Sus scrofa: one gene and its partners. The protein of the gene in region 2 interacts with the protein of the main gene of each other region in a biochemical or structural test. Links are inferred from orthologs where the notes say so. Each region holds a gene or a part of one and is shown on either strand. Other genes may lie near its edges.

The links.
Region 1: the proteins of GLRX5 (region 2) and BOLA3 form a complex in vitro, tested with the Homo sapiens proteins (4 studies listed by BioGRID and IntAct, with this or other methods). The link is inferred for Sus scrofa from reciprocal best matches to the Homo sapiens genes GLRX5 and BOLA3.
Region 3: the proteins of GLRX5 (region 2) and BOLA1 form a complex in vitro, tested with the Homo sapiens proteins (2 studies listed by BioGRID). The link is inferred for Sus scrofa from reciprocal best matches to the Homo sapiens genes GLRX5 and BOLA1.

The regions. Positions count from the first base shown.
Region 1 is NC_010445.4:68,882,162-68,886,416, reverse strand, and holds the start of BOLA3 (bolA-like protein 3), read right to left. Parts: upstream 2,835-4,255; coding exon 2,781-2,834; intron 202-2,780; coding exon 78-201; intron 1-77. UniProt on the Homo sapiens protein: Acts as a mitochondrial iron-sulfur (Fe-S) cluster assembly factor that facilitates (Fe-S) cluster insertion into a subset of mitochondrial proteins. Probably acts together with NFU1.
Region 2 is NC_010449.5:116,786,134-116,790,286, reverse strand, and holds the start of GLRX5 (glutaredoxin-related protein 5, mitochondrial), read right to left. Parts: upstream 2,942-4,153; 5' UTR 2,808-2,941; coding exon 2,522-2,807; intron 1-2,521.
Region 3 is NC_010446.5:99,155,553-99,158,749, reverse strand, and holds BOLA1 (bolA-like protein 1), read left to right. Parts: upstream 1-1,512; 5' UTR 1,513-1,602; intron 1,603-1,965; 5' UTR 1,966-1,968; coding exon 1,969-2,382; 3' UTR 2,383-2,691; downstream 2,692-3,197. UniProt on the Homo sapiens protein: Acts as a mitochondrial iron-sulfur (Fe-S) cluster assembly factor that facilitates (Fe-S) cluster insertion into a subset of mitochondrial proteins. Probably acts together with the monothiol glutaredoxin GLRX5. May protect cells against oxidative stress.

The DNA of each region.
Region 1 (4,255 bases), on a different chromosome or scaffold from region 2:
CCAAGCCTCCTGCTCTCTGCCCCTTCAGCAGGTAAAAATCCTACCAAACTGTGGGAGAGATGAGGGAGAAATCTTACCTGAAATGTCAGTGACTTTGATAGCTGTAGCTCGAGGAAATTTTTCTTTGAGAATTTGGGTCACTTTGCGCTCCCCCTCAGTCTGCGAGGCAAACATCCGCTGGGCAGAGTGGAGAAGAGGGAGCTGCCACAGAACAGAGGAGAGTCACTGTGGTGGTGGGGGGGGGCTGCCCTCCCCCCACAAGGCAGGGCCCCAGGCTAAGGCAGGGCAACTGCACTGTGTTCCGTTATGCTCCCCAGGAGGCAGAACAAACTTTATTTTGAGGAGGGAATGGAATTGTAAATAACTCACTTTGATGGTAGAGACAAGGCCCCAAACTTCATTCCATAGGTGTTTAACTAGTGATAATGTTATGAGAGAGACACTATCATGATGACTTTTTTTTTTTTTTTTTTTTTTTGCTTTTGAGAGTTGTACCCAGAACATGTGGAAGTTCCCAGGCTAGGGGTTGAATCAGAGCTCTAGCTGCCGTCCTATACCACAGCCACAGCAATGCCAGATCTAAGCCGAGTCTGCAACCTACACCACAGCTCACCACAATGCTGGCTCCTTAACCCGAGGAGCGAGACCAGGGATCGAACCCACATCCTCATAGCTCCTAGTCAGATTCGTTTCCGCTGAGCCACAAGAGGAACTTGTGAGGACAGTTTTATGAGTGAGGAGCCTGATGCACTAGGTAATGTCTAAGGCTGGATCCATCAGTAGATGCAGAACCAGGAAAGGCCAGGCCACCCGGCTCAGTCATTACCACGTACTGATGAGGCCAAATGCCACCCACCCTTAGGCCTGATTAACATTCCACATTCTCTCCAGTGGGATGTACCCCTTTACCTATTGCTTGATAAGCCAGCTACCCTTTGCAATTCTTTTTGTTTGTTTGTTTGCTTTTTAGGGCTGCACCGGAGGTATATGGAAGTTCCCAGACTAGGGGTCCCATCGGAGCTACAACTGCCGGCCTACACCACAGCCACAGCAACGCCGGATCCTTAACCCGCTGAGCAAGGCTAGGGATCAAGCCCAAGTCCTCATCCTCATGGGTCCTAGTCGGATTCGTTTCTGCTGCGCCACAATGGGAATGACCCTCTTTGCAATTCTCACTGGAGAGAAGAAACAGAATTCTGTTAAAGGACCTGAAGGAGGAACCTTATTAGATTTACCATGGGCAGCAGCACTCCCCCTCCCCCTATGGCTACCCCAAGGAGCCAGGGCTCCTGATGGGAATGTGTCTCAACCCTTAGCAGACGACCAGGTCAGCAGCCCCTTGACTGGGTTGAGCACATGCTGAAAAGGGAGAATGAAAACAGAGCATGGCAGGCCTTGAATGTCAAGCTAAAGACTTTGGGTTCTGTTAGACAGATTCTTGGTGTCAAAGTAACAGTGCATTTGAAGATAAGTCAGGAAAGATGCCCATACGAGAGTATCACTACAAAGGAGTAATATCAGGCAGCCCCACTGGAGAAGGATGGTCCTTAGAGCGCTGTTCATCAAGGGCTGGTGCTGAAGGTACCATCCCTTTATCCCCTTAGTCCTGCTCATCCTTAGGCCTTTCCTGATGGCCCAGAGCAGGGTCCTATGTTAGTTAAAGAATCTCAGATCACCTCCTTTAAATGCCCTGTGCACTAACTCTTTCACCAACTGGTCTCAGAGGCCAAGACTGAGTCTGTCCTGTTCTGCAGTCTTCCAGAACTGCCCAGGGCAGGCCCTCCGGAAGATGTGGGTGATGGATGAATGAATGAATCAATGAACAGGGGAAGAACCACGTGATTCAGGGCATACCTATGGATCACCAGCAAAGAAATCTCGATTCTAACACTTAGCAGAAATGCAGGTCAGGAGAAAGATCTGACTTGGGAGGGAGACTGAGTGCTGTATGTGACAGACACTTGATGTTGTGGGCCTGGGTAAGATGGGGTGGGGGGGTTAGGACCTCTCCTGAAGCCAGTGCCCTGGGGGACAAAGGCAGAGGGTAACCAGGTGGCTCGGAAGAAGCAATCACTAAGGGGTCAGGGTGGTTGGCACTGCTGACTCCTTGGGAGAAACCTTCCCTCATCTCAGCTATCTGCAGGCAGTGGCTTTTAAAAACCTAGCAATCTACTGACAAAAATCTCCGGAATGCGGACTGTCCAGGCTGGAAGTCACCAGGAGAATTGCTCGTCATGCCTGGGGGAGGCAGGTTCAAAAGAAGAAAGAATGTGAGAAGAAAGCCAAAGAAGTGGATGAATCAGAAAGGGGGAGAGAAAATTCGGAGAGCGCGTGGGGAGTGCCCTCTGCGGGCTTGCTACTAGGGGAGTGTGGGATTTGGGGAGGGTCAAGGTCACAGAAGCCGGGCGGACGTTCTGGAGCCCAGACCCAGCCACAGTCCCTGGCATGCACGCCGCGACTCCCGGCTATGCCTCCCACGTCTCTGGTAAATCAACACTGCTTGGTCCGTGGCCGCCGTATTCAGAATGTTTGCGCATCCGTTCCCCTCGCCCTCCACCCCCGCCCTGTTCGCGGGAGCTCCCCCAGCCCGCGCCGGGCCTGACACTTCGACTACGCGTAGCCGGGCCCGCTGGATGAACGAACCAACGGATGAGAGAAAGAACGCGGAGGCCCCCGGCTCGGCGCGCCGCCCTCCGCGAGCGGGTGCTCCAGCTCTGGCCGCAGCCCGCCCCGCGGTCTCCCGCCCCGGCGAGAGCAGCCCGGCCCCCGCCCGCGCTCACCCCGCGGCTCCCGCGGAGCAGAGGCGCTGCCGCGGCCGGGCTCCAAGCAGCCATGCCCGGCCGACGCGGCCCGCCGCCCGAGGTCGCCGAGTCTCCCAAAAGGCGCGGAACCCGGAACCCGAGCCACCTCCGCCGTGGGCGAGGCCGCCCCCTGCCGTCTGGAGGCCGGGAGCCGCCCCGCACGCCCGGGGCCCCGCCCTCCGCCTTCTCTCGCGAGCAGCCTCCGCTGCCCAGGCTGGGGACAGAGCCAGTACCCGGGGCTCCATGCAGCCTTCGGACTTCCCCTCGTCCCAAGGACCCTGGTGCCCTAAGTGGACCGCCGCTGTGCCCACTCACCACCCCACACCCTGCTGTTAAACGGAGGGTCTTGGGGGTTCCCGTCGTGGCTCAGCGGTTAACGAATCCAACTAGGAACCATGAGGTTGCGGGTTTGATCCCTGGCCTTGCTCAGTGGGTTAAGGATCCGGCGTTGCCGTGAGCTGTGGTGTAGGTCGCAGATGCGGCTGGGATCCCGCATTGCTGTGGCTCAGGTGTAGGCTGGCAGATTAGACCCCTAGCCTGGGAACCTCCATATTCCACAGGAGCGACCCTAGAAAAGACAGAAAGACAAACAAAAACACAAAACAAAACAGAGGGTCTTGGGTTTCTCCCTCCAGGAAGGAACCAGGGAAGGATTCTAAAGAGGGGAGTCATTGTCAGATTTGTGCTTTAGAAAGATCACTGAGGAGCGGAGACAGTAGGGGGCTGAAATTGGAGAGGAGGACAGAAGTCCCAGCTTCTGTTCCGAAGGAGAGGGGAGACCCAAGGGGAGACCTGGTAGCAGGGATGGGAGGAGTAGATTGAGACACCTGGGAGGAATGGACTGGAGTGACCGGCTGAAAGTAGCAGGGCTGAAGGTGGCAGGGATGAGGCTCAGGTTTCTGACTTGGATAGATGGAGGAGGGCTAGGCGTGGGATGATGGGGATTGACTAACTTGGTTTTGAATTTGCCTCAGTTTAAGGTGCCTGCAGGACACGGCTCAGCAGAGGTGGAGGCTTGGAGTCACAGACCTTGGCATTTTGAGAATGCAGGGGAAGCTGACACTATCAGGGACGGATTGTCAGCAAATCTGCCCCATGTCTGGAATACTTCAGACAGTTCGAAGCAGAAATTCAACCAAGCCCTTTCTCTCTCTAGCAGTATGTGCATATAGCATGTGGTCTGGTATACCGTGAAGGATGAACCAGCTCTTTTTACTCTTGCATTTTGCCTATGCAATCAGTATGTTCACTGCTGCACTTGGATGGGTTGTGTAAGCAGATAGGTAGAAGGTCCCGGAAACAGAGAACCAGGCATGGATTTTTGACATAAGCCATTTTCAGCCTGTCATTTGTGATCTAAGCCTGGCCACAAGGGTTAGATCTTGGGTCTCAGTAATTAATGATCTTAGGGAAACAGAAGTATGTGGGAACAGACGGACTCTTACCAGACAAGA
Region 2 (4,153 bases):
TTTTGCAGACACGCCTCTCCTGTTACTAGAAGTGACCTTGGGTTGGGAAAGGCACAAGGACATATCTTTAGTTGGCAAGAGCAAGCATCAGACAGCCTGCTGGTCTCCACGGCCCAGAGGGCAAGGTGAGGCATCCTAATGGTTGAAAGCCTCACCCTGGTGAAACCAGCCCCTTCTGCGGTCACACGCTTACACCACCCCGCCCCAGTCTGGAGGTTAATACGTACACCAATGTACACTTTCTAAGCAACGAAGACTAGTGTTAGGTTCAGTTTATGTGCAACACGTGTACTAAGCAAAGGAACAATCTGAGCAACTCAGCGGTCAAGAAATTTGAGGATTAAAGTCTGTTGCTTGAATGCTTAAGAACAGAAGACCAGAAGCCAGACGCCCAAGTGCTCTCAGTAAACACTCCTCCATTCCTGCCCCTATTTTCAGTTTACTGCCCATATTCCAGCATAGCCCATCTCTGGCTGTATTTTTTTTTTTTTTTTGTCTTTTTTTTTTGCTATTTCTTCGGCCGCTGCCTCGGCATATGGAGGTTCCCAGGCTAGGGGTCGAATCGGAGCTGTAGCCACCGGCCTACGCCAGAGCCACAGCAACGCGGGATCCGAGCCGCGTCTGCAACCTACACCACAGCTCACGGCAACGCCGGATGGGTAACCCACTGAGCAAGGCCAGGGACCGAACCCGCAACCTCATACTGGGTGTATTTTTTAACCTTTCTAAAGTGAAGGGTAGTTGACTGACAATGTTTCAGGTGTATGATAAAGTCAGACCATCTCTGGGTCTGTGAATCAGAATGGCAATTCACACACCAAAGACACTCAAGACTTTACTGTCAGCAAAATATCAACAACACAACTTTTTGCAAGGGGCCTCAGGCATGGTCCCGGCAGGGAGATTGCAGAGCAGTTTCTCCTATCTAATCTTTCAAGCAGGAACGCCAGTGCCAGCTGAAGACTGCAGCTCACCCTGTCTTTGAAAAAAAACCCCGCAACTGGGAGCATTTCAAGAAGACAGAGGATCATAAGCACAATACACTGTAATGACATATACCTGGGAACGCTAAGCTGCCTTCTCCGCTCCTCTTTTCCATCCACCAAAACCAAGAGCTCTCTAAGGATCAGATAACCTGGGTGGGGAGGAACTTTTCAAAACATAAAGTGCTAATAATAAAACAGAGACCATTTAATGGGTGTCTTCTGTGTGCCAGGAAAGATGACAGGCACTTTCGAAAAAGTTTTTCTTTCTCTTTTTCCCTCGCAAAAACGTTGTCAAGTGTGGTTTCATCATCCTCCTGCTACTGAGAAGGAAAATGCACGTGTGTGACTTGCTCTGTGGCTGACTGGCCGCAGAAGGACTCTAGCCCAAAGCCTCTCCGTGACACCGGCCTGGCTCCTTGATGTCGGAGTGTCTACGATTGACAACTTCAAAAGCAGAATTCTCCTTGTAGAACACCAGAGAACCTGGTGCCCTCAAACTCCCTCCAGAACACTGTCAAAAGCCTGATACGAGGGCGATGCTGGAACTCAGACACTGAAAGTCTAACGTAAAGGCCACCCTTCGGAGGGTACAAGCATCGTCTCCCCATTTCTCCAGCAACACCATCAACCCTAGCCAAGGGCAGACCCAGGGGTTCCGGTCTCTTCCTCTTTCTCTGCCTTCACTCAGATAAACAGAAGACTGCAGGGAAGGATCTTAGCTTGGAGTTCAACAGGAAAGACGCTAATTAGCTGCCAAGGCCCTCCACCTTGCCCCAGGGCCCAGGGAAAAGGCCCAGACCCTCCTCCATCTGCCTGGCCCTGGGCTCCTGGAGCTCCCAAACCTGAGTTAGCCGGGGCCCAAAAGTCATCCCTCCATCCCATCCCTACAAGCCTCTCCAAGCCCTAGCCCCCAGCTTTCCCCCATCTCGAGTACCTAAAAACGAATTTCCTATCTTTTTCTCCCACAACGCCAGAACCCGGCTAAGACCAGTCCAAAAGCTGTGTCAAGCCCCTCCTTGCAGCAACAACAGTGGCCGGTCCCTGACACCGCGAGCCTCGAGGCACAGCAGACCAGCCTCCGACCCCCTTGGCCTCAACCTCGGCCCTCCCTCCACCATCAACAGGACACTTATCCACGAGACAGGTCACGGCTTCAAAGTGTCTCCTTAGTGGTTCCCCCTGTATCCCTCTTTGTCCCACCTTCCCAGCTCTGCAGAGCGAGGAGTGAGGCTGCTGACCACGATACTTGGACTCAGCCCCAGAGAATGCCCCCGAATGCCTATTTCTGCTCAGAGTGAGGTTCGGGGGAACAGCTAAGTAAGGACTTACCCCACTGCCCAGGTTGGCCCAGGGCCCCAGATCCTCAAGACCCGGTTCAAGGTGATCACGCCCCCACTCCAGACCCTCCAACGCGGAGTGGAAGCCCGCGCCCTAACCCCGTTTGAACCTCCGCAGAGACCTTGGCGGAGAGACCCTCCCCCCCGCAGAGAGGCCTCGGCCTGTCGCCCCCCAGCCCCGCCCCCGCCGGCCCTGACCTTGCCGGAGCTGGGGGTCGTCCAGCACGTTGTAGGCCGCGTAGTCGCGGACGCCGTGCAGCCGCAGGATCTGCACCACGGCGTTGCTGAAGCCACACTGGGGCTGCTCTGGCGTCCCCTTGAGGAAGACCACCACCTTGTCCTTCTTCACCAGCGTGTCCAGATGCTCCGCTGAGCCGCTCCCGCCCGAGCTCGCCGCCCGCACGCCCGGGACCCACAGACCACCGCCTACGCCGCGCCCCCAGCGGAGCAGAGCCGCCGCCGCCCGGCCCAGGGACGCGCTCATCCCCGTACGCTCGCCGGAGCCCTGGACAGCTCGGGACCTGAGTTAGACAGCAGGAGCCTCGCTGGGGCCTGGCCAGCGGCGGCCCGCCCCGTCCCCCGGAGACCCTCATTGGACCGGCTCCGAATAGCTCTACGTGATTGGACAACGCTGGCCGGCAATTACTGGATTCTACCAATCATATTACTTGTCCCGCCCCGATAGCTTGGAGGAGGTCCTTAGCTTGACGCCTTACCATTGGCGGTTGGCAACCTCTCTATCAGTTGATTGGAGAGAGTGCATGTCCATCAAGGTCACGCTTGAGACTAGCAGAGGCGAAACCAGCGGGAAGACGACTTCGCCACCAAGGGCGGGCGGGCCTGCTGGGATACTCCGGGTGAGTGGGACGCACTGGGCGGGGTTTCGCCGTTCCGAGGATGTCGGGGAAGGGGGGTCACTGCCAGATGGAGGTTCCGGTTCCGGTGCAGTGTCTGGCTGGTTGCGTTGCTACGGCAGCGCGGTTGGTAGGTGCCTGGTTCTTGCCGTAAGGGTGGTAGCGGCGCTGGAGTAGGTCTGGGTCTAGGAGAGCGGCCCGGAGCGTCTGTAATGCCGCAGCCGTTCGCGGCGGGAGCGTGGACCAAGCCGGGCTCTGGCGGCCAGGCCTGCCGAGGGCTACCGCGTCCGACCTGGCCCTGTGCCTCGGAGCCTCTCGCGGTCCCGCCGCCCATGTGAGAGCGGAGGCCTGGTTTCCGCCCATGGGCCGCGATTACTTCACTAAAACAGCTTTTATTTTAAAACACTGTAGAGCGCTCTCGTCTGTGTGATCGGGGCTTCGCTGACTTTCCGGCCTACTTAAGCCCCTGGGCCTGGGCCCAGGAAGGGTTTGTTGAACCGGGAGCTAAGAAGGGAATTGGCTCGTTCGACAGACGTTTTCTGCGCAGCTGTGGCGTGCAAGGCACGGGGCCGGTGCGGGACCTCCAGAGAGACCTGTGCCCAAAGCTTGAGAAATGAGAAGCAGGTACAAAGCAATGTGGGGTGCAGAGGAGGGAAAGGCAGTTTCCTTAGACCCACTGCTTTCTCTAGTCTCCATTGTGCTTATTACACCTTGACACGTGTTTGCTAACTTGTTTGTTGACTTCTCTCCCGGACCCTCGACTTCATTCACTGCTGTATTCTCAGTACCTAGAACAGTGCTTGGAACGTGGCGGGTGCACATATTGGTGGAAAGAACGATTCCCGGGAGAGCGGGGCTCAGCGACATCGCCAAGTGATCTGTAGTCTTGGAGCCGCCCAGGGTTGGTGGTACCCTAGAGCACACCAGACTTGCAGAGAAAGCAGACTCAGAGGAAGCTGAGGCATAACTGCTCAAG
Region 3 (3,197 bases), on a different chromosome or scaffold from region 2:
ATACACATAAACAACTTAGGAGTTCTCTTATGGTACAGCAGGTTAAGGATCTGGCATCATTGCAGCCACCATTCGAGTGGCTACTGTGGCATGGATTGGATAACTGGCCCAGGAACTTCCAGGTGCCAAGGGTGTAGCAAAAAACAAAAACAAAACAAAACAAAAAAACCCTTAAATATAAATGTATATATGTACAAGCATATAATAATATACACATGTAAAAAATGGTGAAAGGTAGATGATATTTCTTTATACTATTCAACTTTTCTGCAGGTTTGAAATTTTTCAAAATTAGAAGTTGGAGGAATTCCCTAGCGGCACAGTGGGTTAAGGATCCAGCATTGTCGCTACTGTGGCTCTGGTAGCTGCTGTGGGGCAGGTTCCATCTCTAGTCTGGGAATTTCTGATGCAGTCAAAAAAAAAAAAGTATGGAGAAATCTAAAATATAGACTGAATTGACAAATTACATGTCATCTGGGAAAAATCTTATCCTGTTAGTATCCCTGTTTTTATTGTATTTATTTATTTATTGTTTGTCTTTTGTCTTTTTAGGGCTGCACCTGCGGCATATGGAGGTTCCCAGTCTAGGGATCTAATCGGAGCTGTAGCCGCCGGCCTACACCACAGCCACAGCAACGCCAGATCTTTAACCCACTGAGTGAGGCTAAGGATCGAACCCGAAACCTCATGGTTCCTAGTCGGTTAGTTTCCGCTGCGCCACGTCGGGAGCTTCCCTGTTTAAAGCCTTCCCTGGCTTCCACAGCTCCTAGGATAAAGGCAAAACTACCTCAGGAAGCCTACAAGGCTCAGCATGATTTCCTGCCTCTTCCCCCCACAGGCCTACACACTCCCTCAGCTTCCCATCATCATCATCTTGGCCCCGTGGGGTCCAACCATACCTAACTACACCGAAAGGAACACCTCCACCCCCACCCTCACCCCCATCCCACCAAAGTTCTTTCTCCTCTAGGCCTTTGCGCATGCAGCTACCCCCCTATGAAGAATTGAGAATGGGGTTTTGTGTCTCTTCTAAACTCTTCCTCTAAGTTTCCTCTGCTCCCCCAAGCCTCGACAATATGCCGCTCTAGCATCCTGTTCTTGGCCTTATTACAGCCCTTGGCACATGGCATTACAACTGTCCGCTAACTTGTCCATCTTCTCCAGTGTTCCATCAACTGCCCGAGGACAGACAGGGCCTGTCTTACCTCTCCACCCTCCGGGACTGGTCCGATGCAAAATAATTATGTATTCAATAAATGAAATAGATTTCCACAATATATGGAAAATAAAGATGTTGGGCTAGCTGATCTACAAGACCTATTGGAAATAAAATGAATTGAAAAATCTCAATCCCAATTGCTCAGGAATTTCCGTTTTCTTTGCAATTCCTCGGGTTCACAACCTCTGACGACCTCACAAATCGGGCGAAGTAGAGACTACAGTTCCCAGAAGCCCTCGGGGCATCGAATAGCACCTGCCGGGTATCGCGTAGCGGAGACTGCATTTCCCAGCGTGCCTCAGGACGCGAGATTTGCTTTTGGCTCTGACCCTCAGCCGTTCCTTCCGGGAGTCGGAACTGCGGTATTCAAGCCTGAGTGCAAGGTAGAAGGGGCCCAGCCTGGGGTTCAGAGGGGACACAGAGACACTGCTCAACCAAAAGCCCAGAGTTGCACATACCCTACTCTTGCAACCTCCATCTTATTCTTTGCGAATCACCTTAGTAAAGAACATGCCTCACTTCTGGCCCTGTGTACTCTACAGTCGCCCATTCGCTGCCCAAGGCGGGAGGCCAGATTTCCCCCACGTCACACTGAGGAAAGGGGCGGTGGCTCCCGTTTCACTGTCCCGCGGGGCGGCGGGCTCCCAGCTGGAGCCGAGGCCGGGGCTGGGATAGTTGAGAGACTGATCTCTCACCAAGCGAGAGGCCCTGACCCCTCACTGCTCCTGTCCTTGTCTCTGCTTTAGCCGATGCTGAGTGGGCAGCTGGTCGGACGCCTGTTCTCCATGGCCGGGCGCGTCTGTCTGTCCCGGAGCAGCACGGGAGCAGGGACCATCGGTCCCGTCGAGGCCGCCATTCGCATGAAGCTGGAACAGGCCCTGAACCCCGAGGTGCTGGAGCTGCGTAATGAGAGCGGTGGCCACGCAGTCCCACCAGGCAGTGAGACGCATTTCCGCGTGGCTGTGGTGAGCTCTCGCTTCGAGGGATTGAGCCCCCTACAACGGCATCGGCTGGTCCACACGGCGCTGTCCGAAGAACTGGCTGGGCCGGTCCATGCCCTGGCCATACAGGCGCGCACCCCTGCCCAGTGGAGAGAGAACCCTCAACTGGACACGAGCCCCCCTTGCCTGGGCGGGAGCAAGAAAACTCGAGGAACTCCCTGAGTCTTGAGAGAGGGAGGACGAGGAGCCAAATGGGTTGGGTGAGAATAAACTACTGGGGCCTTCTTCCCTTCAATATCTGTAAGAGATGAGGACCCTGGGCCCCATTCAACTGGCATATACTTATTCTCTGGAGACAGCAATTCATTTCACATCAAGGCTAACCCAAGGAAAGAGTAGAATCTCTCTCTACAGCTCTTGGCCTGGACCATTCAGGAAAATGTTTTGTGTTAAATTGTGACTAAGGAACCACCAGACCTTATGAGTTGCAGATAATTCTGTACATTAAAAGAGAAATTATCGTATGAAGTGAATTGCTGTGTTATTAATGGCCTTTTGAGTCAGTGCTACAGATGTTCTCGGGAGGAGAAAGATACTTGAGGCCTAGGATAGTCAGGAAGGGATTCATTAAACCAGAAAGGAGAGGACAGTTGTTGCAGGTAGGGGGAAGAGCCCAAGCAAAAGCATAGAAGCTGGACTGGACAGAGAGTGACAAGACAGCAGCTATAGATGCATTTGAACTTCAGACTTGGGGAATGTTTGGCTTTCTAACAACCTATTCTTTTCCAAAAGGATTACATTTCTTTGTGGAAAAAATTTTTTTTTTTTAACTATCACTAAAGCAGTGAAAAGATGATAACCTAGGAAATGAGTATAGAAGATGGAAAAAACTTTATGTGGCCTTTTTTCATATGAGCCTTCCAAATGTCTTATTTCTGAAGAGAACTCAAGTAGTGTCTAGATATGCAACTTTGTAATGATCTCATGTGGAGATGGAAAGTACTAGAGAAAAAGCTTGATTAAGGTGTATGGACTGT